3 linked regions of the Arabidopsis thaliana genome follow. The protein of the gene in region 2 interacts with the protein of the main gene of each other region in a pairwise test. Each region holds a gene or a part of one and is shown on either strand. Other genes may lie near its edges.

Evidence for each region. Proteins that work in one complex are often made in the same cells at the same time.
Region 1: the proteins of ZFP8 (region 2) and AT2G43220 interact in a two-hybrid assay, tested with the Arabidopsis thaliana proteins (one large-scale study listed by BioGRID).
Region 3: the proteins of ZFP8 (region 2) and AT5G54360 interact in a two-hybrid assay, tested with the Arabidopsis thaliana proteins (one large-scale study listed by BioGRID).

The regions. Positions count from the first base shown.
Region 1 is NC_003071.7:17,960,029-17,968,437, forward strand, and holds AT2G43220 (Cysteine/Histidine-rich C1 domain family protein), read left to right. Parts: upstream 1-4,190; 5' UTR 4,191-4,311; coding exon 4,312-5,928; 3' UTR 5,929-6,183; downstream 6,184-8,409. Other genes in the region: AT2G43200 (S-adenosyl-L-methionine-dependent methyltransferases superfamily protein), read left to right, coding at 1-66, 139-216, 307-508; AT2G43210 (Ubiquitin-like superfamily protein), read left to right, coding at 914-1,010, 1,224-1,276, 1,382-1,463, 1,640-1,705, 1,799-1,866, 1,944-2,162, 2,244-2,772, 2,961-3,203 and 1 more; AT2G43230 (Protein kinase superfamily protein), read left to right, coding at 6,447-6,479, 6,565-6,632, 6,742-6,959, 7,089-7,466, 7,540-7,813, 7,892-8,024, 8,113-8,199, 8,287-8,409.
Region 2 is NC_003071.7:17,503,466-17,511,051, reverse strand, and holds ZFP8 (zinc finger protein 8), read right to left. Parts: upstream 3,710-7,586; 5' UTR 3,497-3,709; coding exon 2,723-3,496; 3' UTR 2,436-2,722; downstream 1-2,435. Other genes in the region: AT2G41945 (uncharacterized protein), read left to right, coding at 1,087-1,119. UniProt on the Arabidopsis thaliana protein: Probable transcription factor required for the initiation of inflorescence trichomes in response to gibberellin and cytokinin. Is not involved in the regulation of trichome branching. Is functionally equivalent to GIS2.
Region 3 is NC_003076.8:22,067,898-22,074,900, forward strand, and holds AT5G54360 (C2H2-like zinc finger protein), read left to right. Parts: upstream 1-3,964; coding exon 3,965-4,777; downstream 4,778-7,003. Other genes in the region: AT5G54350 (C2H2-type zinc finger protein), read left to right, coding at 2,238-3,023.

The DNA of each region.
Region 1 (8,409 bases), 460 kb from region 2:
TGATCTTAAACCGAACACACTCGGTGTTGTGTATGATCGCGGTCTCATTGGAACTTACATGAACTGGTAAATCACTCAAAACGTCTCTGATATCATCTAATTTGACATCTCTTATACCATATTTTCCGGTTTTTGTAGGTGTGAAGCTTTATCTACATACCCTCGAACCTATGACCTGATTCATGCCAATGGTGTATTCAGTTTGTACTTGGACAAGTAAGATCCGTCCCTAACTTGAAAACTTTGATTTACATTCATTTGGTGATCAAAGTGTAATGGTTTCTTTTTCTTTGTTTCTTATGATAGATGTGACATTGTTGATATACTCTTGGAGATGCAGAGGATTCTTAGACCAGAAGGAGCAGTTATAATACGAGACCGTTTTGATGTTCTTGTCAAAGTGAAAGCCATAACCAATCAAATGAGATGGAATGGGACAATGTATCCAGAAGATAATAGTGTTTTCGATCATGGAACAATACTAATCGTAGATAACTCAATTAAATAAAACTCTTTTTGGTATCACACACTACTACAAAAAATTTGGAAACTTTTGAGAGAGTTGTTGGTTTGGGTTTAAATTGGACAATTACAAAAATTAAGAGGTGCATTTAGATATTTTGAAAACTTTAATGGACCTCATAAATATTTAATAACAAACATGTAACGACGTTATTGTGACGGTGGCGTTAAGTCGTTAACTGCGTCTGATCTACTCGTAGCTTCTTCGTTCTTCAGCATTTGATCGGAGTAGGTAAAGTTGTGGATCTCTTTGTTTCTTGCTAATTCAAATTGATTAAGGTTCCTGGGTTTGATCGGCTCTAGCTAGGGGTTTATGGTACTCGTTATATAATTCACTGAATTTAGGGTTCAAGGGTTCTGATTGATCTGCAGTGACCTTTTTGATTGACAGATGGAAGCTCTGTCTTCTCTTACGTTCAAGGGTTCTCTTCCAGAAGCCATATTTGAAGCCAAAGGGAAGAAGAAGCTTTTTGTTGTCTACATTTCTGGTAAATTAATGGAATTTTATTTCTCTCTTGTTGGAATTCGAATATGAGTGGGATAGTGTTAGGAGATTTGTTTCTCCTGTAGTATCTCATCTGAATACGATTTCTGATCATACAAGAATATGGCCTTTTAAGAAAAAGTTTCAACATTGAAGAGAGCCATAATCATATTGTGAGCTCAATCTCAAAAAATTTAAATTTGTTTCCAAATTTTAGGAGAGGATGAAGAGTCGGATAAGTTGAACAGATTGACTTGGACTGATGCATCGGTAGGTTTCTCTTGTTTTTATACTTTTCATTCTCTTCCTCTATTGTTGAAAATGCAAACAAGGCTATTTTTCACTCATATCATTATCGTATGTTTCCTTATAAAGGTGGCAGATTCGTTGTCGAAGTATTGTATTTTAGTGCATATCCAAGCTGGAAGTGTTGACGCCACAAACTTCTCTGCAATATGTATCCTTTCTTTTTATCAGAGAACTTAAGATAGCTGATCTAGTCGAAAGCTGTTTCTATGGATTTTATAGAGAATGCTTCGTTTCAACAGACTTTCTATAGAATCTGTCTTGTAGGCTTGTAATAAGTTTTAACTCACGTGTGAATGCAATAGGGATCTTTACATCAGTTTCTAGACCCATATTCATCTGTTCCTTGTATAGCTGCCATTGGATTCAGTGGTACACAAGTTTGGAGAACCGGTAAGACCATATGTACTTTAGATTTTAAGTATTTACACGTTATAGTCAAGCAAACGTACTCAAGTTTGTTTTCTATCCCTTTCTATCTTTCAGAAGGATTTATCACTGCTGAAGACCTTGCATCCAGTTTAGAGAAAGCGTGGTTAGGACTTCATATCCAGGTACGTGATAGCTGCTTTCTCACTTATGGTGGTGTTCGTCCTTCTATACATTTTCAGTTGACTTTTCTCATTTTCAGGAAACAACTGCAAGTATCTTTTCAGCAGCACTTGCATCACAGAACTCAGAGACACCTGTTTCTAGTGCTTCGAGTGTTGTCTTGCCTCCCGGAAGTGTTCCTTTAGATGCAGCGGTTGCATCTCCATCGACGGCTTCTAGTGTTCAACCCTCAGAGACAAAGTCAACGGTAACATCTGCATCAACAACAGAAAACAATGATGGCACAGTTGCAGTTAAGGTTGTCCCTGGAGCTGAAATCATTTCCACATTACTTTAGTTTGTTGTTTTGCTTACATGATGCAGCCTTTTTTTAAAACAGGGCAAAGAATCTGCTGAACCCAGTAATTTGTGTGATACTACTAAAAACCAGCCAGCACCCTCTGTTGATGGAACTAAGGCCAATGTTGAACATGAAGCGACAGAGACCCCTTTGCGTGTTCAGGCAGAAAAGGAGCCAATTCGTCCTACAGCCCCAGGAACAAATGATAATACATCCAGGGTTCGATCTTCTGTTGATAGAAAAAGGAAACAGGGAACTGTGATAAATGAAGAGGATAGTGGTGTAGGTGTTAGTGGAAGGGACATTAATCTAACAAAATCTGTCGATACAAAAGAGACCATGAAGCCAAAGGATGAAGGAGGAGAGGAAGAGGATGGAGAAAAATCCAAAAAAGCATCTGACGTTCATTTAAACATTCGATTACCTGATGGTAGTAGCCTTCAGGAGAAGTTTTCTGTGACAAGTATATTGAGAATGGTCAAGGATTATGTGAACAGTAATCAAACAATCGGACTGGGTGCTTATGATCTTGCGGTTCCTTACCCACGTAAGGTGTATACTGACCAAGGTACGTAAAATCTACAATGCATCCAATAGATTTTTATTTTTATTTGGTAAAGAACATTTTACCTTAAAACCAGCTTCATCTTGATCGAAGATGATGTTTTCTGCCATTTAGGTTTTTTTTTTTTTTTTTTCTGGTCAGTTTGGACTAGTGTAGTAGATACATAACTCCATTACTCTTAATCTCTGCAGATCTGGATAAGTCTCTATCCGAGTTGAGATTGTTCGATAGACAAGCACTTGTAGTAGTTCCGCGAAAAAGAGCAACCGTCTATCAAAGAGGAACATCTTACTCGGAGTCTAACAACAACACAGACCCTAATAGTGGCGGTTACTTTGCTTATGTTAGAAGAGTACTGTCTTATGCAAACCCGTTTTCATATTTTGGCGGTGGTACTGCCAACGCATCAAGCTCTGTTCCAGAACGTCAAACAAGTATGCGGGAATATGATGAGTTTATAAAATCCATTCTAATGCAGAAAGTCGTGTAATTGCTAATCTGATTCTCTCTTTTTCTATCTATAGGACCAAATACGGAGGTGAGAAACAATCTGGGGCAAGTAGGGACGTCCTTTCAAGATCCATCAGAAGGTAGGAGCAACGTTAGGAATAGGAGACCAACCACTTCTCGGATTGGAAGTAACATCCATACGTTGAATCACAATGAAGATGAGGCTCCGTTTGGTGATGGAAACGCTTTTTGGAACGGAAACTCCACACAGTACGGTGGTGGAAGCGGTGGAGACAGTAATGATAGACGATGAAATAAGAGAAGTTGAAATCTGTGTGGATAGATACAGAAACAGCTCGGGTGTTTACTTTTTATACTTGACTCTTTATGAACCATTTAAGAGACCAGCTGCAAAATGTATCCTGATGCGTTTCCGTTTTTTCGGTTGCTCGTATTAAATTTAAATCTAAAAAAACTAGCAATTTCTGTTTGATTAAATTCGGTTCTAGAAATTAATTAGTGTCGTTTGATTAACTTCGGTTCCAATCATAACAAAAATATTAGAGTTAAATGGTTGCTTAAATATAAGAATCTGTATATTCTTTTCTATGCAAGTGAAGACTTCATTGAACTGTGAAAAGGCGTTCACTGACAGCTTCTTGTTCTCCTAGCGGTTTCCCTTGTGCTCATCCTCACACCTTCCAAAATATTATCAACTCGGATAACAAAACATATATATGTGATCAACCAGACAATTTTTTAATATATATTTCTATAGTCAACGATGAGTACGCATTTTAATAATCCGGTGAAAGATTAGTCGGACTAACTAAATAATTTTTTTGACATATAATAAACACTTGGACCCCCCAAATTGAGCCTTAAGAAAAGACTAAACCAGTTCTATTAGTTGCGTACAACTAACGATGATCAACTTGAGTGATTTATATCGGAGATCGTGGGTAGTGATACGGGTCAACAATATAAGGATTTAGAGATCAATTAGGAATTGAAGTTAAACCTTTTCAATTTTCTTAAAGTTCCCTGATCCTTATTCATTCATCGTATCCACAACCATTCTTAACATTGCCCATGGCTAAGACGCTGGACCTCTTTTGGCACGAACATCCTTTATATGAAAAATATCGTATGTTCACTTGCCAAGAGTGCCATAGGAGTGCTATACCCTTCTTTGAAGTTTTTTATGGATGCTTCAGATGCAATATAAAATGGCATCCCTATTGCGTGCCAAGGTCAACGAAGAATATTAACCACCCTTGTCACCCGAACCATCCCCTAGAGGTTCTCCTCCAAGGGCCACCTAGTTACTCTGACGAGAAGTGCAGCCTCTGTCAACGGAAACTCTCCAACTTCGTTTACCATTGTAAGTTATGCAATTTCAGCATAGATATGGAATGCGGAAACAGGCCCCCGCCCCACAAAGTGGATCATCCAAAGTGCCACGAGCATGCACTCACCCTCATGGGAAGGGAAGTATCCTTCACTTGCAATGCTTGTGGTACGCATGGTGAACGGAACCCTTATGTATGCCTACCATGCTCTGTCATGTTTCATTATGATTGTATTGATCTACCACACGTCATCAACATCAATCGTCATGATCATCGCATTTCACATTCATATCCTCTCAAACGTGGGAATTGGGTATGTGAAATCTGTCGTCAAGATATCAACACCACGTACGGAGGCTATTCATGCAACAAATGTCCAGATTTTTTTGTTCATTCAAAATGTGCAACTAGAAAAGACGTGTGGGATGGGACCGAACTCGAAGGGATACCTGAGGAAGTAGTAGACGTTGCGCCATTTGAAGTGATCGAGGAAGGGGTAATTTATCATTTCTCCCACGAGAAACATAACTTATTCCTTATTGAGGATGTTTTTATAGATGGTGCTGAAGACATGCATTGTGAAGCTTGCGCCCGTCCAGTCTCTTCTGAGAAGCACTACAAGTGCGTGGAATGCAAGTTTATTCTTCACGAAGAGTGTGCGAATCTTCCTCTTACGAAACGACATGGACTTTCCACAGGTATATTTTATCTTCGCTTCGGGAAGGATTTTAGCGAACAAAATTTCAGTTGTGATGCTTGCAATAGAGATGGAAGGGGTTTTAGCTACAAGGATGAAGAGGGTGTGGTACTCGATGTGTTGTGTGCGTCTCTCTCTTTCTTCAAGCACCCCAAACTTCATCCTCACACGTTATTTCTAACCACAATAGATCGTGGTACTTGCTTAGCTTGCGGTGAGAATAAACTCAATGTGCTGCGTTGTGTTGATTGTGATTATTCTTTGGATTACAAATGCGCCACTCTACCATTAGTCATAAAGCATAGGTGTGATACACATTATTTAGTTTTGCGCTCTGGGGAGGAGGCGCCTGAAGGTAAATATTGGTGTGAAATCTGTGAAGCCGAAACCAATCCTGAAAGATGGTTCTATACATGCGATGATTGTGGGGTCGTGTGCCATATTGAATGCGTAACCGGGGACTTTTTGAACATAAAACCTGGAATAATAATGAAGAACAGGGAGAATAAGTTTGAAGTGGGTTTCAACGATCACGATTCTAGACCAAAATGCACTGATTGTGGCTCTCGTTGTAGGTTCCCTAGGTTTTTCAAGGTTACTAGAAAAAATATTGAGTACTACTATTGCTCAAAAGCTTGTTTTCAGAATGCGAAATTCTGAATGCCTGAAGGAAGGCGAAAGGAAGGATTTGGAAACATAAAAAGAATATGGGTTTTTACAGATGGAGGCTGTGTAATGTTTTTCAATTATTTTCAGATAAACTTGTTTTCTATATTTGGATTTATTGTTGGTTTGCTCATTCAGTTCATAAAACTATTTATGAGAAAGAGAGAAAGAGAGAGAGAGAGACTTTGAAGGTAATTATTCTTCACACCTTTTATTATAATTCACCAAAATTGGGATGTTTGTTCTATTCTTGATCACACGCCTCTCTGTCGCTTCCTTTTGACGTTTTCTTTCTTTTCTTAGCTTTTTCTTTTATCTTTTGTGTTTTCTGTCTTTTCTTTTCCGTAGTTATTTGGGATTCCAAATTTTTTTCATTCCTAAATTTCTCCACGAGCTCATCACCTCCTTTCGTCTCTGCCTCTCATTTGTCTACAAACATTTTTTCCTTTTGATTCGTCTCTCTGGTTTATTGCTCGTTGATCGTTTGTTTCTAAATTGCATTCTGATTTCTGATGGATCGTGATTTTCATCGTCGTGGTCAAGTGGTAAGCATTACACGCAAACACAGCTTTGATCATTAAAAATGTCATCTTATTTAAATCATGTCTTGAGATCACGTAATGGTCTTAGGTCAATCAAGATCAACGCGCAACAAATTCTAATGTTTTTACAAAATTTGAAAATACTTATCTACAAATGTATTTATAAAGAAACCTAATTTGCCTTTGTGTTGATCATGATAGACAATTGTTGTTATTAGCCTGTTGATTTGAAGGCAGAGTCCTCTGTTTTCCTGCAACATGTTAGAACAGCTCATTTATGTGTTTTGGTGAAAACGCAGGCGAATGATCGTACACAAAGCAACTTTGTTCGATTGGATAAACCGAGAGCTGTAGACGATCTTGATATAGGCAAGAGAGGGAAGATGCGTAGGTGGTTGTGCTGTTCTTGTCGTGTACAAGAATCTTACCCATCAGCTGAAAATAACCGATTGAAAACCCCTCCTACTCGCCATTACGACTATGGTATCGCTCTTTCTTCACCTTACTTGTGATTGAAGTAACCTATCAAATTTTATTCTTGGCCTCTTTTAGTTGCATTCCAAATGTGCTTTTGGTCCATTCCTAACCTTTCAATATCTTTTGCTTGTGTAGGACGTAACAACAAGAAAACACCAGCTCCTGTGAAGCCTCCTGTTTTGAAGGAGCCTCCGCCTATTGATGTCCCCGCAATGTCATTGGTTGAGCTCAAAGAAAAGACTCAGAATTTTGGATCAAAGGCATTGATTGGAGAAGGATCCTATGGAAGAGTGTACTACGCAAACTTTAATGATGGGAAGGCCGTGGCTGTGAAAAAGCTTGATAATGCATCTGAACCCGAAACAAATGTCGAGTTCTTGACTCAGGTCTCTAAAGTTTCGAGGCTGAAAAGTGACAATTTTGTTCAGCTTCTTGGTTATTGTGTAGAAGGGAACCTTCGTGTCCTTGCTTATGAGTTTGCCACAATGAGATCATTGCACGACATCTTACACGGTAAGAAAGATTTCTTTCTGCTCAAACATCAATATGGCTTAGGATGGAGATTGATAAACTTGATGCTAAACAGGGAGAAAGGGAGTGCAAGGAGCACAACCTGGTCCAACACTTGAGTGGATGCAACGAGTCCGAGTTGCGGTTGATGCAGCTAAAGGATTAGAATACTTACACGAGAAAGTTCAACCTGCGGTTATACACAGAGATATTCGATCTAGCAATGTGCTTATTTTCGAAGATTTCAAAGCCAAGATTGCTGACTTTAATCTTTCCAATCAAGCTCCTGATATGGCTGCTCGTCTTCATTCCACTAGAGTTTTGGGGACCTTCGGTTATCATGCACCAGAGTAAATATGCTTCAACATTGATAGCTCGGAATTTTCTTGATTCTTAGTAACTGAAAGAATGTAACTTTGGGTTTGCAGATATGCGATGACAGGACAGTTGACACAGAAGAGTGATGTTTACAGTTTTGGAGTTGTGCTTTTGGAACTTCTTACCGGGAGAAAACCGGTTGATCATACTATGCCTCGTGGTCAACAGAGTCTTGTCACTTGGGTACTTAACTTACTTAATTTGACTCTTTCTTTCTGAGACTACCAAATCTTTTCTTGGTTATAACTTTCTCTGTAAATCTAATATCCAGGCTACTCCAAGGCTGAGTGAAGACAAAGTGAAACAATGTGTTGATCCAAAACTCAAAGGAGAGTATCCTCCTAAAGCAGTGGCAAAGGTAATGAACAGAAACTTCCTAGTCATTTAAATAACTCTAGTGGACCCCACTTACAAGCTAAAATGTGTGTTTTGATGGTAAATACAGCTTGCAGCGGTTGCAGCGTTGTGTGTGCAATACGAAGCAGAGTTTAGGCCAAACATGAGCATTGTAGTAAAAGCTCTTCAACCGCTCTTGAGGTCAGCAACAGCTGCTGCTCCTCCAACACCT
Region 2 (7,586 bases):
AGAATCTATTCCACTCCTCTAGCTGAGCCAGCTTATTTCACGATCTCTTCTTCTATTTTGTTTTCTCGGTTACCTTTCCAAGTCACATTCTTGAGAACCACATCTATAATGTTAATTTCTCAACATAGTTATACCAAATATAATGTCTTTTAGGTCCTCTCTACTGATAATGCCATGGTATTTGATTCTTGAATATATTATACTGCTTACACAATATCCTCCTGATCTATTTTACAAGCAGTCATGGAACTACATGAACCATGTCTTCTCAATGGCTACCTTTTCATATGAATCCATTGCTATGACTTTTGATATGTTTGTCTTGAATTCTGACAACAAGATCGGAGATTCTGAGTGATGGTAGCAATGGTAGCAAGCAAGTAGATGTTGAAAATTAGTTGTGTAAGAAGCCATAGTCCCAACTCCCAAGGATTGAACCACATGGTCTATAGGGTCGGTGGAACTTTATATATGTAGCTTTGGTCACAAAAATGAGACCGTTTTGGCAGGTTGCACTGTTGTGTAAATGAGATTGAGTGAGTTTTATTTCTTAAGGGGTTTGAGATGTGTACTGTTCGAACTATCATCCTCAAGTTGCAACTTTCCTAGGGTTGTGGGCCGATGTTCCTTAAATTCCACTAGTCCCTTTTACATATCTAAAAAAAAACAAGAGAGCAGAGAAAGTGGTCCTAAGGTTATATAATGTGTATGCTCTTCACACGTCTTTATTATGTGCTTCTTTTATCATGTTGTTCATCACATGCTTCCTTCTCCATTGCATTAACTAGTGGGTCCTTTTATAGCTGCTCTTGATGTTAACTCTTTGACAGCATTCATTCACTGAGTATCCTTAAATTTTCCATAATTTGATAAAACCATCACGTAATTCTCAAAGGTACTGTGCTCTCTGGTTTAACCTCTGCAGTTTGTATCCAAATAACTGTTCCAAGGAGGGCAGATATGTCTTCTTCTTCTTTTTCGTTTGGTTTTTTGTTCCCATGTGATTTTGATATGCATCCTTATTGCAATAGTTTGTTGCATAAGACTTGTCTAGAAAACCTTATCTCTCATCCTTTTGATTGACAGGCTGAGTTTGCACCGTTTGGTCCTTCCCCGTAATATAGACAGCGACTGTCCTGTTCCGCGACTAAAGACTTAAGGTCAGAAGTTTTGCAATGTCACTTTCTGCAACCTGTTATCACAATAATGTGCTGAGATTTGTTTGAAAGCTTTAGGATAATATTAAGACGTACTCCTTGCATAATGTTAGTTGATTAGGTACACATTAGCAATCATGCTACAACGTTTCACGACATATATAACTAGAGAAGGAAAAGTATTCCTTCTGTTCAATCTCAGTACTTATAACCTGCATACTTTTACCTCAAGAGTATCCAAAGTTGTTCTTTTGGAATTATAGACTTGATAGAGTAAGATTAGCTGTCGTTTAACTTTTATATATTGGTTAGTATCACAGCTGGTAATTCTAAAGCAAATAGGCTTTATATATCTGTAACCATCTTGAGTTCTTATTGTAGTATATTTGTAGTGTGAGGCAATGCCACATATATATGTGATTGAAGTCTTGCCAAAACTGGAAAAGTCAAGCATTTGAATATCTTGGTCTATGCCGAAAGTCGTAGCTATATAAATATGGTTGTCTTTAATGTTTGGTTAGTGTTAAGACATTGAAGGTCATATGTTAGGTACGAGGATTGATATCATTGCTTCTTCTGAGATATACGATTGTGATTCTTGTAGGCCTTGGGGCATATGGACTTCATTCAAAGTCTGTTCACTGGAGGCAATAAGAAGAAACATGGTCATGTGCCGTGGCTTGTAACCAGTATTTTTATTTTCTTATTATATTTTGAGCATTGTGGTATATGGGGAGAGAGAGAGAGAGATGAACAAGGAAATATGGTAGACAGCTTGTAGTTGATGATTCTCTTTGAACTGCCCAAAAAAAGGTTAGAAAAGAAACTAAAGAAGAAAGCTTTTGAGGAAAGGCTTTAGCTTTAGGTTCTGTGTGTTGAGAAAGATGTGAAAGCTCTATCTTTGGCTAACTCTACACTTGTAATCATGGACCACTTTCACTTCTCAACTCTCTCTCTCTCTCTCCCCTTTTGTCTTGTCCATTGTCTTCAGTGATCCCCACAGTCACCGAATCATCATCAACATCTGCATTTACCCATCCTTCGTTGCCTCTTGATTCGGTAAAAGACCGTTTTAATTAGACAGAGACCCTAAGCATTTTGTATCTAAAGAGTCTTCTGGGGTTTTTAATGGTTAAGACTTTAAATATCTCGACTGCAACAACAGAGAGAAAGTACGTGTGACTTCCATGGCCCTTAAATTAATGTTCCTCTTTCTCTGAAAGTTATAGAGAGTCTTGAAGGAAGCCATAACAGAACTCACAAATGAACAGATGAAATCAAACAAAAAAAACGATAATTATATCATTCACATTCACACACACGTGAGAGGAAATTAAACGGATGAACGAATTTTACTAATTAACCAAAATATTATTCCCTTTATTAATATAAACTCAGAATGTGAAAACCTCAAAAAGGTTCAAGATGATCTACACACCAAACCGGTTCTCGTTTTCTTTTTCTTTTTTTCAGTCTCCAACACTCTCAAAAGAATTGGCTTCACCGATCAGCGAGTCTCATATATCACAGCAATGATGGATGATAAAAAAATAAAATAAAAGAAGTCAGAGATGAAGATCGAGACTCACATGATCTTGCACATTGGGTTTCATCAATCTGTACGGCCAGTTATTAGGCTCCTTATTAGTCTCTTGCTCATGCGACCTAAACGCTGAAGCTGGTGAAGATGAGTAAACGCCTTGAATAGTATTTGTTGACGTGGAAGGCGGTACACGCCACAAACCTAAAGGACTTCCGTTGATTGTCGGTGGGTTAGAAGAAGGAGGAGCAAGAGTATTCCTTGAGTAGTACGACGGCGTTTGATGTCCCCCTCCGCCGTAGTATGATCTAGCTTCCGTCGTCCAAGACGGATAGTGACGGTGGTGGTGGTTGTTGAGGAAGCCGTAGATGTGGTGAGGGTCATGAGGCTGATGATGATGAAGGTATGATGTCATGGAACCGCGTTTGGCGTGTTGACGTTCACGTTTGTGAGCGTTTTGATGTCCACCTAGGGCTTGAGAAGTTGGGAAGTTTCTGAAGCAGTAGTGACACTCGAATCTCCTGTTGTTGTTGTTATCTTTGTCTTTGTCCTTATCTTTTTCTTTGTCTTTGTCCTTGATATTCTCAGAGCTCTCATCGTTCTTGGTAGTGGTTTGATGATCAGAAGGTTCTGCGGATAAGTTGTCGGAGTTATCACCGACGAGCTCTTGGCCGAAGAGACGAATAATGGCGGCTTTTTCTTTGGGAGGAGTACGGCGGATGAAAGGAAGCTGAGAGAAGGATTCAACGTTGACGTTCATGAAATCGTGAGTTTCTCTTCGTCCGTTGGTTTCGTCCATGGAAGAGAGAGATCAGGGAGAGTGAGTTTGAGAAGAATGAGGTTGACTGTTTCAGAGACAGAAAGACAAGAGATGAGGTTTTGCATTAATTTAAAGAGAGGTTCCCAAATTCTTTTTAAGGTAAATACATAATTGCTATTTAACCCCTGCAGCATGGCCGCGTGCGTGATTTTACGTTTATCCACCTATATATATATAGCTAAAGAATGATCCACATTTCACTTGTACATATTTTTCAAAATAAATAAATCTACTTCTTCATTAGTTTTTTTATGATCTCAATTTTTTCATTAGTATATTAGATTTTTCCTTTTGAAAATCAAACCTCATAGAATTTTAAAATTGACTCCATGGTGCATGTTTATATTTTATTTTTTTCGTTAGTTCATGTTTATATAAACCTGCAATTATGGTTGGAAAAAAAAAAAAACTAATTAGCGTATGGAAGCATAGGAGACGTAAATATGGGGTATATATGGAAGCATAGTACTATACTATATGATTACAGATTTATCTTGTGTTTAAATTGTAGCTTACTATGAATCTATACCGTGTGTCGCGGTAGGTAAAAATAGCCGGATAAAATCAATCAATATATAGGGAGACCTCTAATCTACATTCACTTCCCCTACGCAATATATCTCTCATTAGACATACATATACAAATATCCATCTCATCAAAAACAAACCCATCAATCCTCCTTTTTCAAAGTTATCTCCTTTTTAGTTAGTTGTTTCTTAAAGTGATTCCTGCAAATGTTGAAACTAAGACAAAAAGCTTACCAAATTGGTCGTAAGCAGATGAAATGGGGTCACAGTGAGTAATGAGATGAACTAAAAACAGTGAGAGTTTGTAGGTAAGAGATCATTAGCAAGGTGAAGTTAGGTGTGTACTCTTTAACATCACGGACCTATTTGGTTATTATGTCTACGTATAAGTACATGGATTTTACTACTAATAGAGAGAGAGAGAAATAGAAAGACCTAATTAAAGAGACTTCTTCTCTCTCAAGGACCATACTTTTAGTCTCTTGGATGTTTTGTCTCTTTGATGCAAAGATAATCTTACAGAGAGAGAGAGGTGGTCCATGTTCATGATCATTAATGATGCTCATAATCGACTAGTTGACATGTCATCACCAGATAGTTAACCAATTTAAAAGATTGAACCTTAATCGATGAGATCACATCATCTTATCAATATGTATGTAATCTGTTAATACTTATCAACTCGGATCGATCATATACACGTCTTCTTCAAATGAACTATATATATATATGTATTCTCTTTTTGTTCGTCTACACTAAATTTTTTGATATTTTGTAAGAATAATTAAATTTTAAATCCCATTAATTTTGATTATATATATTCCCTGATTATGTCACACAAATAATGTATATGTTGCTAATGTCAAGCTGGAATAAGGACTATAAAACTCATTAATCCATAAATTAATCTGACCTTTTTCATTTCTTTGACGACTCCCAAATTCCCAATTAAGTATGACGTTCAGTTAGTTGTTTTGAGCGGTAAAAATTTTCTCCTGTACAATGGTTGGAATCAAATTACTAAACAGTCTAAACTAATCCTACGAAAACTAAGATCTTGTAAACTAATGCTGATTGCTTACTATACACAGTATTCAAAGTTTTCATTTAGTACGTATCGAATCATCTCTTATCGTTCTATATACTCCAATATGGATCATCCATTTGTGGATAGATAAACTATTCCTTTTTTTTTGGTCAACAGATAAACTATTCTCTTATAAAAGTATTGTTATTTATAATTTTTAAATTAAATTATGTAAGCAAAACAATTTCTTTTTTTCTCCAAATTTTTTTCAGACGGATTCCCTTTAAAATCCAACTGTTGTAAGTGACTTCCTCACATATAGTATGAATTTACCGATTCACATAACATGTGTGAGGTATATATGAGTAATCAAAAGCTTATTGTAAGAAAGGGAAGTAAATTCAACTATGGTAATAATGTCCATACGAATGCTGGTCCCAAAGTACATTAATTTACATACATAATTTTGCAGATTTTGGACTTCACATGACGAGTCCACGTCTCTTTTATTTTTCCACAAACAATAAACTCTGTTTAAACCTACACATGCGATTTAACATTTAAACTCATCAGAGAGCCTTGGCATGCAAATATGAAAGTTTTAACTGTTATTAAAATTATATAGTTAATGAGAATGTTTTTTTGTATTCCTCTAATATTTTAGAAAAATATTTAAGGGAAATTGATGAGAATGCTTAATATCGGACTTTCTACAACCAAATTTTGTCAAATCTCTTAGATCATACTACGTAGTCTTTTTAGGTTATATATCAGAACTTTTTTGATTAAAAAGACGAAATCTATATAAAATCTCGGACTCTGATTTTTTTTTGTCTAAAGCTAAGTCCTAACCAGTGTAACATACTTGTGTCATAATATAATACTTTTAAATCTCATAAAAAAGGGAAGAAAAAAAAAACATATTGTAAATGCATATCTAAAAACATGGTTACAAAGAAAAGTAAAACAAATCTAAAAAAAATGTAATTGGGTCCCATGAATGGCACTTGAACCCCACAAAAAAACATGCACTTAAAAGCCCACAAATCTCCCAAACCCTAACAGCAACTCTTCATTGAATCATGCAATTGCAAACCTCTTTGCTTTGCCATTAAAGTCACAGTCATATGCTCAGAGATTTAATGGCTTTTGTTGAGGGGACCATATCTCTCACTTTCTTGCCCTCACATCCATTTCTTGGATTCAACTCCTCCACTCTTATATACACATATGTATGCAAATTCCCTCCTTGTTTATTTTTCTGAAAAGAAATATGATGAAATGTTTGGGCCAGTAATAAATAATAAAGATAATAAATATGAAAGATGAGAAAAAAGAGTCTAGATTTTGAGGGACAAGCATATCTTGTCCTTTTCGTTATATGTGACCTCACAATGTTCAGCTATATACAAGGACCGAACTTCAAAGTAATATAGAAAATAAATGGTGAAAGATATTTTATTTTAAGTAGAAGAAAACAGAAAATAAGAATGAGAGGAACCCCAAAATTAAAAGCTATAGAACAAATGCAAGTGGAGTTAAAAACAACATGAAGAGCTCACCGGTCTCTTTCAGTTTTAAACAATCTACTCTTAACTCTCCATCACTTCATCGAACTCATGACCAAACTCATGATTAATTCTTTTATATACAATAATGATAAGATCAATTAATATCTCACGGTGTGATGATCTTCATTACTATTATTAGTTTTTTTTTTTTTGGATGATCTACATTATGCATTACAAGTAGATGAAATTTTTTACTAGTAGTGAAAAAACAAGTTTGCGTTTAACCTACTCTATTTTTTTACCAAGAGGCAAGAGGTATAGCTTTCTAATAGATTTAGTGGATATAAAAAACACAAAACTATGTATATGAACAAACAAAGGAGTTCAAAACTAACCACCAATGTTCTACAAACCGGCATCAACAGACCCTATATTTCTAAATTCGATACAAGAAATTGTTTAGTTACATGAGTCATTGTTTGACATTTATACATAGTCGTTAATTTTAGAACGTGTCAGAGAGTCTGATAAAAAGTATATGAAAAAAATTTACCATGAAAGGGAGAGAGTTGAAAATAAGCATTAAGAAAGAAAAAAACATGATTGAATGAGTAAGAGAAATTTATAGGTGGTGACAACAACATATGAAGAGAATGGGCTCGATTTCAACCGTATATAAGTCAATGTAAAAGGATAAACATACATACAAATGTGAAATGTGTATTATTATAGCTTTTGGTGGGTTTGTGATTATCATTATTGTCTGAAACTGATATGGGTCTTGTTTCTTTTAAATGGACCACCATTTATGAATATTCCTATACATATATGTGTGTGTGTATTATGAGAGCATCTTTTCAGATGATGGTTTAACAATGTATGTGGGGAACTTTCTCTAGATTATGTGATATGTCTCCGGCCCTATTGTCAATTTGCTTTCTTTTTATAATATGATTTTTATATATTAATATTTGAACCCTCGTGCATGGGAAATGAGTCAATT
Region 3 (7,003 bases), on a different chromosome or scaffold from region 2:
TAAAGATTTCTGCAAGTTTCTGGTCTAATTATTTGTAAGCGAATTTGATCTTTCATAATTTAAAGAGATTCTGAGTTTTGCTTGAAATCCTTTGTTAACGAGACATTATATCTATTCAACTTATAATATATTAGTCTTTCCGATCTTATTATTAGTGTTGTAATCTCCCAAATTTGTTTAACACATGTCATCATCTTTCAGGATTTTTTAACCAAAAAGATAATTATCTTTTTTATATATATCAATGTTAATGAATATCGTCTAGTTATTGAACCTATATACATAATATGTAATTTAAGAAACCATATTTAGAAAAATGGAATATAATCTAGAGTCTTGTATAATAAAAGGTTGTCCTACTCACAACTTACAGTTTCCAGTTTGTGATAAGAGAAGGTTTTGTTTAAAAAAAAAGAAGAGAAGGTTAACATACTTAGAAAAATTGGGTAACAAAAGATTTGCAAAACTGGAATTTTAAATATTTCGGAAAGTATCTGAGTGATGCAGAATTGAAAATTTCGGGTTCTCTATCCTTGCAACGACTATCGTCTGTATCTAGAAATGAATGGATTTCACTTCATGGCCTAGGGTTACATTTCCCAGCGTTATTTTGATTTGGGTTTGTGAGATGTCTCATATAAAATATGATGGAACATTAATTATTAAAAAATTGTTTTGTGCAAATAAAACTTTAAAGTCGTTTTTACAATGGATAAATACCTAGCTAGTAAACCGTATTATGTGTGGTGAACTGGTGATAAGTCATTCGTTATGGATAAATAATGTATGTTGAAAATATATTTGTCCAATAGTTTCATAGACTAATTAAAGAAAAATGTGGCGTTATAGACTTATAGTCAACTATTCATGTTATATCATCTAAATATATATGACTGAAAATGCATTTTTAAGAATATCAAAACTGGTATTCTGTAAAGTTCATGCACCATCAGTATTTAAAATTGTATTCATTTTGGGTATTTCCTAGTAATTAGTAAGTATATCGAAAGTAAATAAAAAGGAAAATAAACAAAAGAAAACATAGAAAGTAAGAAACTGAAAACAACATAATTAAGGAAACAAAACACAATTTCTATCTATCATTAAGTCAGGATAAGAAAAAACAAGAATAAGTAGTAAAGCTGACTAAGACATAGCTGGAGTTTGTATGTACAATGACTCAAAATTTAACATTCTATATACAATGGTGTGTTTCCCTTTCTTTGTATTTGCAATTATCATATATATATATATTAGAGAAAATAAGTGAAAAATAACATCATTCCATATAATAGAAAATATAATCTTGTATTACTTAGCTTATTAATACATTTTTTTACATATCAATTAATATTTTTTACATATTAATTGCTATATGAAATAACATGAAGTTACCAGTTTGCAACGGTCGATATAACGAACTGAAGCGTAACATTTTTAAAAAAATTGAAATGAGTTAGTGTTTTTTTTAATTTACTTTTACACATAATGACGTATACTATAACAATTATAGATATATTTTAGCTAAGTAGATAAATTTTAGATTATACAAAGCCAGTTGGTATGCACACAAAATTATTATTTTGGAAGACAAAATGTATAAGATCACCATGGTTAGAAAAACAACCATATTTTCTATCTTTCATTGGAGTTATATATAACACATCATGTAAACAAAATCTAGTCAAATTTGAAATATATTAATTAAATTGGTGTATTTTTAACATATGAAGTATCATTTTAGAAAACAGAAAGAACAAAGTCAAGATAACTAGAGACACACGTACTTGAAATCATGAGTAAATAAATATTAGATTATACAAAGCCAGTTGGTACATAATGCACACCAAATTTTAATTTGGAAGACAATGTATAAATCAACATGGTTAGAAAAACAACCATAACTTTTAAAACTATGGATAATTATTCATAGTAGTTATATAACACATAACTTCATATAAACAAAATCTAGTCAAATTTGAAATATATTAATTAAATTGGTGTATATTTAAGAAAGAAAAAAAAAAGTCAAGATTGTTAAGAGGCACAACTATTTCTTTTAAACAAAAAACAATGAATTCAAAGTAGATTTACTGTTACAATTAATGCTATTTGCTCTTGGAGATTTTATACCTTAGCGAGTGCAACACAGTAATTAAATCTCTCAATATATACCATACGTCTCCGGAGAGAAGAAATCACTCACTTCTAATTCTCATCAAAGTTTTACAAAAAAAATGGAGAACCAATCTGTGTCTTCTTCAAGCTCCTCCACCACCCCAAAAAAACCTGATCAAAAACTCAAAAGTGCCGTTGTGACCGTGGAAGAGAAGGAGACAATGAACAATCCGGAACAAAGGCCCCCTCAAGAGGTTGTGTTTGAAAACACGATCCCTGACCCTGAGTTGCCTGTTTTCACATTAGAAGTTGTCCGAACGGAAAGAGATAACGAGCTAAAATATCCTCCAAAGGATAAAAATCTCGACTCGGTGCTTTCTGGTGGTACTTCTCTTCCGCCTTTCCAAAGCTTTCCAGTGCCCTCTTTCGGCCTCTTTGGTCCAGCGTATGGCGGTAGCAGCTCAACTAATGATATTAATCTGGATCTCACTCTTGGTCCATCTTCTTGGTCTAACACTAACCCATCTTCTTGGTCTAACACTGACCCATCGTTCTATCGAAAATTGTTCACTCCCGTGCTACCTTGTGTGCCTAGAAACAATTTTGTTGCTGGAAACCCGGTTGGTTCAAACACTAGGTATATTCCTCCGAATGGAAACAACAATGTTTGTCATGATTTTTTTTTTTTACAGGGGAATAGTTCGGCCTCTACTCACTCGAAAAGTCTCTTCTCAATGGGAAAGAACCAAGCCATGGTGCGTCATTTTGCTTTATCTTATCCAACCACCTATTATTGTTATGATTTGTTTTCTTTACAAGGGAATGGTTCGGGAAACTGGCCACTCAAGTCTCATCTCAAAGTGGGAAAAAAAGTCAGGGTGCCTCCTTTGGCTCCTCCCTATTGAAACAACAATCATGATTTTTTTTCTTTACAGGAGAATGGTTCGGGATCTAGTCACTCGAAAAGTCTCTTCTCAATGGAAAAGAACAAAGCCGTGGAGCCTCCTGTTGCTCCTCCTAATGGAACCACCGATCTTCTGTTTCCTTCACCCGAGAATGGTTCGGGCTCTAGTCACTTAAAAAGTCTCATCTCAAAGGGGGAAAACAAAGTCGTGGTGCCTGAAAATGATGATGATGATGATGATTATACTGATACTACTATCGGGAGGATAAGGTGGTTGAACAAGAAAAAAAGATCAAGACCAGAGTAGTAATTTATCTATGTCCCTTTGATTTTTCAGTTTTCTATTGAGGCTTATGTTCACCTCTCTTTTTTTTTTCATGCAATTGTTTCTTCGTTTCGTTTCAAATAATCTCTGTTGTTTCGATTAATTCATCAGTCCCTTTTGTTCAATTCCTATATCTCATGATTGCTCTAAAATTCCTGCAATTTTCAGAATTCATGGCCCAATTATTCGTAAGCAAACGTTATTTTTTCAAAAGGTTAAAGAGGTTAAAGAGACATTAAAGAGACAAAATGTATAAAATCACCATAGTTAGAAAAACAACCATATTTTTAAGAATATAGATAACTCATAGTAGTCATACGTAACGCATATGAAGAATATTGATTATATTGTTGTGTTTTTATCTTATGAAGTATCATTTTCTAGAAAGAAATTAAAGAATAAAGTGAATGACAGTTGTAGTCTTGGAGAAACAATTATTGCTTTTAAACAAAATTAAGTAGTTTTACGGTATCAATTAATATTTGTTACCCTTGGAGATTATATACCTTAACGAGTTAAATACAATAATTACTATCCTCTCAATAAATATCGCCTCTAAGCAAAGAGATAAGACATCACTCACTTCTAACTGTCAGCAAAGTTTTACAAAACAAATTATGAACAACCAATCTATGTCTTCTTCAAGCTCCTCCTCCCCACACAAACATGATCAAAAACTCAAAAGTGCCCTTGTGGCCGTGGAGGAGAAGGAGACAATAAACAATCCGAAACAAAGGTCTCCTCAAGAGATTGTGTCTGAAAGGACAAACCTTGAGATGCCTAGTTTCAGATTAAGTTTTTTCCGAAAGAAAAGAGATACCGTGCTAATACATCCTCCCAAGGATAACAAGATCAGCCACACCTGTCGTTTCTGCAAGAGGAATTTCAAAAGCTGTTTTGCCCTAGGCGGTCACATGAAGTGCCACAAAAAGGAACGAGAATTGGAGAAGCAGCGAAAGATAATCGAGGATGCGATGCTTTGTGATAGTACTCCTTTCACCTTGCAAAGGCTTCCTGTTGGCCCTTGTAAGTATGGCCAAGGTGGTAGCTCACATGCTTTATCAACTGATGGTATTAATCTTGATCTAACTCTTGGTCCATCCAAGTCCACAGGAGGCAGCAACAATAGCACTAATAACAACACTAACTCATCGTTCCATGGGAATCTAATGACTCCCGTGGGTCCTTGTGTGCCTAGATACAGTTTGGTTGCTGGAAACCAGGTTGATTCAAGCAATATACATGTTCCTGCTTATCCAACCACCGATCTTTGTTATGATTTTTTTGCTTTACAAGAGCATGGTTCGGGCTCTAGTCACTCAAAAAGTCTCATCTCAAAGGGGAAAAACAAAGTCATGGTGCCTGAAGATGATGAGGATATCGGGATGATAAGGTGGTTGCCCAAGAAAAAAAGATCAAGAGGAGAGTAGTAATTTATCTATGTCCCTTTGTGTTTTTCAGTTTTCTGTTTTCTATTGAGGCCTATGTTCACCTCTTCTTTTTTTCATGCAATTGTTTTTCTCTTTTTGTTTCTTTGTTGTCTTTTTGATGATTTTGATGTTTCGATTAATTCATCAAATCCCTTTTTCAATTCCTACATTTCATGATTGTTCTTAAATTTTTGAGATTTTCAGAAGTCATTTTCGTAAGCGAACTTAATTTTTTCAAAGGTTAGAGAGAATCTGCAATTTGCTTAAAAACATTAGTTAAAGAGACATTATCTCTTCATTGACAATTTGTTAGCCTTGGAAAATTGAAAAAAAAAAATAAGAGGCAGAAAGAAGGTCTATCTGATCTTCTATTGTTGTAATTGTAACCTCACAAAAAAAAAAAAAAAAAAAAAAAAAAAAAAAAAAAAAAGAGGCAGTGGTTTCCTTTTGACGATTAGGGTTTCGCTGGTTCCAGTTTGCCCGGTTTTCTTCCTTGACCCAGATCCGATTTACTAGATTGTATTACAAATGTAATCATCTTTCAGGATATTTGTAACAAAAAGATACAACTGTTATCCAATAAAACTGTTATTTTTTTTATGTATTAATATAATCTTGTAATCCTAGTAAGAATTTATAAAACTTAAAAACCTGTAAGGCTGTAACTGATGTTTGCATCTCCATTCTCCAAAGATCTTTTCTATTGAACAAAAATCAAAACTATTTTTGTTTCTCTTGTTCAAGAGAAATCTCCTTTTAAAGATAATTTCCTGAAGACATTTATTCCATAGTATGAAGATCGAGGTCTAGAAGTTGATAGTATTGAAAATTGTCTATTGGATCAACTGGATTGTTTTCTCAAACAAATGAAAGTCAATATTGAAAAACACAAGTGCTTTTTCTTCCAAGCAGGAGATTGATAATTTTGCATTTGGAGCTTGTGCAGATCATTTATATATTAATTTAAGTTCGTGAAGATTTAGGTTTATGGTTGTAGATACCTCACACAAAGCTTACATAGTAGTTACATAGGAATAATACCGAACATCGTCGCTTCATTTGAGATGTTGGGTTGATAGACCCAACAATAAAATCATCCTAAAAGAAGTAAGCTACGTACTTATTATTTATAAAGGCTTGTCCTCCTCCCTTCCTTAAAGCCAAAGCCAACTCTTTAAGTCTCGCTCTCACTGCTTCTGGCGAAAGCTCAAGTTGAGGATGACCTCTCAGAAAATCATCGCTTCCATTTCCATATTCCTCAGATTCAATCTTCTTAAAGCACATATACAATAGCAAAACGGAATCTAGAATTTTATATTATAAAAATGTTGCCACGATTTTTACCAATATCTTATTCAATGTCGACCAAATTAACTATTGAAACCCTAATATCACTGCTTTTATGGAAGTTTGTTTTTCTTGTTCAATCATCGTGGTCTAGAAGTTGATAGCATTGAGAGTTGCTATATGATGAAACTTTATAGTTTTTGCTAGACAATGAGAGTCAATATTGAATACATGAGGAATATGAATACTTCTCAACTTGCAAATTTGTATTTTTACTTCGCAAATTAACAATCTTTTATGAAATTTTAAACAAGTTTTTTGAAAACATCAACATAGATGGAAAATCTGACTAGGAATTTCACAGAAATATGTAAAATCGATTTCTAAGTTCTTGTTGTTAGTTTTAGATGTTATATATTAATGTTCAGGAGATAACGTCATCAAGCGGGGATAGCTCAGTTGGGAGAGCGTCAGACTGAAGATCTGAAGGTCGCGTGTTCGATCCACGCTCACCGCATTTTTCTTTTTGTTTTTGAAATTTTATTTCTCGTTGCAAAACCAAACGACGCCGTATAAATATAAAAGAACAAATTGACTTGGAGCGACGTTGCTTCGTTAGAACGTTAGGTCGCACGTGTAATTGACTTCTCTAAGAATCAAATTCATTGGGTTTCAGAAAAAAAAAGTTATAAACTTTCCATAGAGAATAATACAAGGTCGAAAAATGACAAATTCTTAATTCTTTACATGAAATTTAATATTTCTGAAATTATAATACTTGGTTCACGTATAAAATCATCCATAGATAAGTAATAACACCGTCCATGCATGAACCAATATTATAAGATTCTAACAGGTAACAGATTACATATAACACATGCTCAACAAAATGGCATAGTCATATTTATGAGGACCGAGAAATGTGGATCACTCTGCTTT